2 linked regions of the Danio rerio genome follow. The protein of the gene in region 2 interacts with the protein of the main gene of each other region in a biochemical or structural test. Links are inferred from orthologs where the notes say so. Each region holds a gene or a part of one and is shown on either strand. Other genes may lie near its edges. The genes, in order: fam20cb and fga.

Region 1 (3,831 bases), on a different chromosome or scaffold from region 2:
ATAATCATCATCATCATCATCATTATTATCATTGCATTGCATTTATTTGTTTTATTTGAATTAAAGCATCAAATACATGTAATTCTAATATATATGATTAATTTATTCATAAGAATTTATATGAGGGCGACGCAGTGATGCAGTAGGTAGTGCTGTCGCCACACAGCAAGAAGGTCACTGGTTCGAGCCTCGGCTGGGTGAGTTGGCATTTCTGTGTGGAGTTTGCATGTTCTCCCTGCGTTCGCGTGGGTTTCCTCGGGGTGCTCCCCCACAGTCCAAAGACATGCGTTACAGGTCTATGAAATAAACTAAATTGGCCGTAGTTTTTGAGTGTGAATAAGTGTGTATGGGTGTTTCCCAGAGAATGGTTGCAGCTGAAAGAGCATACGCTGCGTAAAATGTGCTGGATAAGTTGGCGGTTCATTCCGCTGTGGCGACCCTCAGATTGATAAAGGGACTGAGCTGAAAAGAAAATGAATAAATACTAATAGTTATGATTGGCTGTCTGCATTGAAACAATGCCCTTTTAAGTGAGGATCCCCCAGTTTAGAACCACTGTTCTTATAACACTGTCTTGTTACATATGAAGACCAGCTTTTTTGACATTACTCCAGCATTTCTGGATCAAATGAACACAAGCCTGTAGGACACCATCTCTTTCTTTACTGTGTATCTTTAGTTATCCACATGGTCCATTGGTTGAGGAATGAGTTTTAGGAATTCACTGAATTCAGAAAAGTTGATCAACAAGAGCATCTCTTGCGGAACGTTTATGGTCTCTAGAGCTGCTGTGGAGCTTCAGAGGAGTACGCCTGTGCCCACTACCTCTGCGGGACTGTGCCTGTGTCCATGCCCTCTGTGCCCATGTCGTCCTCCACTACATTACTGTAGCCCTCCTTCTCAATGCAGTCGGCCAATACCTGTAGCACCAGACGCAACCGGCGGTCCATAGCCTCAAGATGAGGCCTGATGAGGATGGGTGACAGTGTGTCCGTCTGGAGACTTTCCTCCATCAGAGAGCTCAGTTTAAACTCTTCTTTAGCCACAAGCTGAAGCCGTAAATGAGTGGACTTCTTCACTCTGAGGCAAACAGATCACAATTAGTAACCAAAACAAAAGAGCTATTTACCCAAAGGACTAGTTCACCCCCTAAAATAAGTTAAAATAAATTTAACAAAAAAATTGCTCACTTTCATGTTGACCCCTCAAACCTTCATTCTTCTTGCTCTTTGTTAAAATTAAAATACTTTAGATGAAATCAGAGAGCATTCTGACTGTCCATATAACAGTTGAAGTCAGAATTATTAGCCCCACTGAATTGTTAGCCCCCCCTGTTTATTTTTTCCCCAATTTCTGTTTAATGGAGAGATTTTTTTCAACACATTTCTAAACATGATACTTTTAATAAATGATTGTAGTAACTGATTTATTTTATCTTTGCCATGATGACAGTAAATAATATTTGACTAGATATTTTTCAAGACACTTCTATACGGCTTAAAGTGACATTTAAAGGCTTAACTAGGTTAATCAGGTTAACTAGGCAGGTTAAGGTAATTAGGCAAGTTATTGTATAATGATGATTTGTTCTGTAGACTATCAAAAACAAAGATATAGCTTAACAGGGCTAATAATTTTGATCATCAAAGGTTTTTATAAAAATTAAAAAACTGTTTTTATTCTAGCCGAAATAAAACAAATAAGACTTTGCCCAGAAGAAAAAACCTTATCAGACATACTGTGAAAATGTCCTTGCTCTGTTAAACATCATTTGGGAAACATTTAAAAAAGAAAAACAATTAAAGGGGGGCTAATAATTTTGACTTCAACTGTATAGCAAGGGTCCAGAAAAGCAATCAAAAACTTTGTGGTTCAACTATAATCGTATGAAGCTCCAATAACACATTTGTGCAGCAAAAGACTGTAAACTCATTATTCACCAATGCTTCTTTGGCATTAGGTTAGGAAGTTTGATTAATATGGCCAATAAGATGCTTGCCTGTTGACCTGCGCTGCTCACTCTCAAATCGTTGTATTACCTAAATTAACAGGATGTGAACGGCACTGATAAACAAAGTTGTTGTTTGGTGCACAAATCTGTTCTTGGTTTAGGCCAACAGTTGAACCACCAAACTCACATGAATTGTTTTGACAATTTTTGATTTCTTTTCTAGACTTTGAAGTCTATGGCCTTAATGTCTATGGTGGATAAGAGAGCTCTCAGATCTAAAATATTATTTAATTTAATTGGCTTTCCCAATATGAACAAAGGTCTCAGGGGATTGTAAAGACCTGACCTGAGCCAAAGGTTTTAAGTATGTAAGTTTTGCCTAGAGGGCACATATTCAAAACAATGTGCTGTACAAGGAATAATGGAGTGGTAAGGATCAGTTCATTTCAGTAAAGTACAGTTTGTTATGGGTCACCGTGATCAAGACTCCTTTGATAGAATATGTACAAAAGAATGTTTTGATTGGCGAGGCAGTGGCGCAGTAGGTAGTGCTGTTGCCTCACAGCAAGAAGGTCGCTAGCTCGCTGGTTTGAACCTCGGCTCAGTCGGCGTTTCTGTGTGGAGTTTGCATGTTCTCCCTGCCTTCGCGTGGGTTTCCTCCGGTTTCCCCCACAGTCCAAAGACATGTGGTACAGGTGAATTGGGTAAGCTAAATTGTCCGTAGTAAATGAGTGTGTGTGAATGTGTGTGTGGATGTTTCCCAGAGATGGGTTGCGGCTGGAAGGGCATCCACTGCGTAAAAACTTGCTGGATAAGTTGGCGGTTCATTCTGTCGTGGTGACCCCGGATTAATAAAGGAACTAAGCCAACAAGAAAATGAATGAATGAATGTTGTGATCAACACCATTCCTGCTTAAAGAATAAAGCAATCTGCATTGTTCACATATTATGTCTTTAGTGAACTCAAGTTCATTATTTGCTATAAAATCACAGTCTGGTTTGGAAATCTGTCTGTTCAATTGAAAAATAAACTGGTTCATATATAAAAAAATAAATCATAGGAATAAAACAATACAAGCCCCAAACAGACTCTTTATGAATAAGCAGTCATGAGAAGAGCAATAAGTATTTTGCTAATTCCAAACACCCTCTTTTCAGTGAATTTCAGCTGTTACCATCAGGAAAAAGACTGAGAATGCCAATGTGTAAAACCAATAGATTAAAGCTTTCGTTTGTTCCTACCTCGATAAAACTGTTGAACTCTACCTAGAACAACGCACCAGTAGTATACACGTAGCACCTGACTGTGTTCTGTGCTTTAAACATTTCATATTTTTATATGCTCTTATTTTGTAAACAATGTGTGTTCTTAATTGTTTTGTGTGTTTTATTTATTTTAATAGAGCAACGTTGTATCACCTTTTTGCCCAAGACAAATTTCCTCTTGGGGACAAATAAAGTTTATCCTAAATATTATTGAGCCGAAAATAAACACAGAGAAAGCGAAAGCACTTGTGGGGTCCTCATGTTTTTAGGCATCCTCTTAAACAACAATAGAAGACACAGCAGATTTCAACAAGGTTTGTTTGATTTCAGGCCAAGCAAGACTAATTGCTGTGTGCTGTCATTGTCTTATTATGGTTAAAATGATTTCACCAAGTAGGACATGTTCTCGGAGCAACATCTAGAGAACAACATTTTAATTAGAATTAAGGTGCAAGTTTACAGTTTATGTTAGGTTTAAGCTTACAGTTAGGACTATGTACTTCCACATGATTGTTATACAACTATTATTCCTGTCTGAATTTGGGAATAATTTACTGTTAGGGTTGGGTTTAGGGGTAGGAATTAGGTATGGATTAGATTAATAACACAGGTAT
Region 2 (3,254 bases):
TGGTGAAGATGGTAATGGTGTTCTGTCAGGGAATAAAATGTACCATCAGAGACACAATTTGTGAATAAAGCAGTACTCACTTACACTCATTGTTTTTTTTTTTTTTTTTTTTTTTGCTGCTTGTTCAAACTACCAATTAAAAATGAGCTGAAACAACAAAATTTTGGAGATTTTGGTGGAACCTACTTGTTTTCTGTTTAATCAACTTAAATTAGTTACATTAACTTAATGGATTTGTGTTTGGGCGACATAAGTTGTATTGTATGGTACCCTGCATTGTTTTCAGTGTGTCTACCCCTAAAAAGTGTTTTAAATATTTGGCCTTTATGCACTATTAAGGTTTCATTATGAAGCATTGATGGTTTTGGTGAAAAGCTGTTGAACCCCTGATGGTGCAATTTTAGGGGGTGGATTTTTGTGAGAAAGACTAAAATGAGCTTTATCAACTGAAAACTTAAAGCGATAGTTCACCACCCCCTCCAAATACTCACTATTCACTCTCAAGTGGCTTTCTGAGTTTTTTTTTCTTGTCGAACCTAAAATAAGCTGAACACCAATAACCAATGACTTCCATATGAAAAATGTATACTATTTCCTATAATAAAAACTCTCTTCAGAAAATCTTCTTTTTGTGTTCGACAGAAGATTTTCAAAAATGAATGGTGAGTAAATGATGATAGAATTGTAATTTTTTGTGTGAACTATCCCCTTAAAGAAAACCAAAATGATCTGAACACATTGTGCTTTTGTGGTTACAACTTGTCTGTAGATCGTCCAGAAAATGATTCTGAAAGCAGACCTTTTTAAATAAAAACACACTCCAGAACTTAAAGTGAACACATCTTTATTGGAAACATGAGGTAATCTGGTTGTGTAAAAATGTATGTTGCATCATCATTGTATTACGTTCAACACAAGCAGAATATTAATCATACAGCTCATTCAAAACAACAGATATCCATCCTTTTTCCCCTAATCCCCTCTTTATGTTTTCATTTCAGACAGGTCTGATCTTCATTCTCACCACTTTGAGGGAGTAATCAGCTGGTTTGAAAGGCAGCCACACGACACCATTCTCAATCTCATAGGGGACTTTGGTAGCCGGGTCATACTGGCCTCCTTTATAGTAAATGCCATTGAGGTTGGCTGACTGGCAGTTATTATACCACCACCCTCCACCATACATCTCTGCACAGTTTTCCTCCCACTTATCACTGTCCCTATCAAAGGTGCTAAACTTCATGCCAGCATGTGAAAGGAAGGATCCAAGGTTGGGATGTCCTCTCACTAACGCATCTCCTGCATCCCCATCATAATCGGATGCAGTCAGCGGGAAACCTTCAGCCTCCGAGCCAACTTTAATGTTGTACTCAGCGTAGGCCTCAGCTCCAGTCCAGTCCTGCAGCTCCACCCTCAGAAGACTTTCTTTCTGAGTGAGAAGGTGCAGGAATTTGTTGCCAATCCAGATCTCGCCCTTACCCTGCTTGTCTATCTGTCCGAAACCATTTAGATACTCCTTCCAAGTGCGGTTGAAGTTAACAGACCCGTCCTCCCGCTGTTGAACCAGAGTCCATCCCCCCAACCCAGTGCTCTGGTCACAGTAAACCTCTACTACCTCCTCAGACCCCGCTGGTTTTATTTTGAACATCCCGCTCTGACCGCCGTTCACATGCTTCTGCTGGATTTCAACGCAATCTGAAAGAAGATTACACACCTGCCGATTAGAGCAAAACTGCATTGCAAATTCATTCCAGAGATCCAAACAATTGCTTCTTGGTGAGTATTAATAAATGTGATGGATTGGTATTTACTTAGATATCAGTTAGTCCACATGTTTCCAACAAACTCTTGTTAATAGTGTTATCATTATGTTTATCAATGGTTCACTTGTGTTAAGAGTTTCACTCGAGTGTACCTCCGCCAACAAAGCCAGCCTTGCGATCGTCTTGCGATTTCACACTGCGTGCATGGATGTCGGGCATATCTTCTTCCACGTCGCCCCGCATGAACGCCCCGAGGTCATCCCCAAAAATAGGGTCGCTAGTGAGGGTGGTCTTTGAGTAACTTTTGCTTCCATCTGACACTGTCTTTGTGGATGTTGAGGATGAAGATGAGGCATACTTTCGGTTGTCAGTGCCAAGATTCTTAAAGAAGTCTCCTCCGAAGCCACCCAGATCAGAAGTGCTGTGGCTTAGAGAAGTGAGGGACTTTTCATCACCGCCGGTCACTGTTATTTTCAAGCCATCGCGACTCAAATCTTTCCCATCTTTGGCTGCCGTCAAAAACTCTGAATCTGAAATTCCTAGTTTTCCTAAATCATCACACCCGGGCCCGCTAGACGAAACTTCAACCTTTTCCACGGGGCCATCTTTGGTGTGTGTTATCACTTTGCGAACTGATTTGGTGCACTGCTTGCTGGAGGTTTGTGATGTGGAGCCCGTACCTGATGTGGGAAACTTGCTAACTGTGGCGGCAGATTCGGCAGTGGAGCCTTCAGCTTCCAGAGAGAGCTGCATCTGGCCTACATCTCCAAAAAGCAGCTTCTGCTCAGCTTTGCCCGTTCCGCTCTTATAAATGGTGGGCACCAACACATCCTTCAACGGCCTGCTCTTCATGATTCCCAAGGAACTGACAGTCTCCACGCTCTGTACACGCATGGCGTTCAGATTGTCCATTTGCTTGTCCAAAGTCACATAGCTTTCCCTGTCCACCGAGAACTCGCTGTAGCTGGCACAAGAGCCTTTGCATGTGCGTAGTTTGATGTCAATGTCAACCTGTGGTAGGAGATAATATTGGAAAAGTTTACTTAATGATGCCGTTGTTTCCAGAAATCAGTGTAGAGATCAAATTTCACATAAACCAAGACTCCGTTTTAGCTAAAACTTGGTTAAGACTTATGATAGTTCAACCAAAACCTGTTTGAGTTTCTTTCTACTGTTGAACACAAAAGAAGATACACTAAAGAAAGCTGTATACCTGAAACCATTGACATCTATCATATGAAAAACAAACAATTGTACCCATTGACTATAGTATTTGTTTTTCATATAGATGTGAATGGTTTCAGGTTTACAGCTTTTTTCAAAGTCTCATCGTTTGTGTTCAACAGAAGAAAGAAACTCGTAACCCGGGTGGATAAATAATAAGTAAATTGTCATCTTCATGGTGAAATGTTTCTTTAAATATTTTGCTCACCTCAAGCCGCTGCATTACAACAACTTGATCTTTGACCTGCGACTTCAGAGCGTCCAGAA

Evidence for each region.
Region 1: of the proteins of fga (region 2) and fam20cb, one has a biochemical effect on the other in vitro, tested with the Homo sapiens proteins (2 studies listed by IntAct). The link is inferred for Danio rerio from reciprocal best matches to the Homo sapiens genes FGA and FAM20C.

The regions. Positions count from the first base shown.
Region 1 is NC_133187.1:19,965,407-19,969,237, reverse strand, and holds part of fam20cb (extracellular serine/threonine protein kinase FAM20C), read right to left. Parts: intron 1,081-3,831; coding exon 822-1,080; 3' UTR 1-821. UniProt on the Homo sapiens protein: Golgi serine/threonine protein kinase that phosphorylates secretory pathway proteins within Ser-x-Glu/pSer motifs and plays a key role in biomineralization of bones and teeth.
Region 2 is NC_133176.1:11,470,450-11,473,703, forward strand, and holds the end of fga (fibrinogen alpha chain precursor), read right to left. Parts: coding exon 3,196-3,254; intron 2,775-3,195; coding exon 1,916-2,774; intron 1,696-1,915; coding exon 998-1,695; 3' UTR 828-997; downstream 1-827. UniProt on the Homo sapiens protein: Cleaved by the protease thrombin to yield monomers which, together with fibrinogen beta (FGB) and fibrinogen gamma (FGG), polymerize to form an insoluble fibrin matrix. Fibrin has a major function in hemostasis as one of the primary components of blood clots.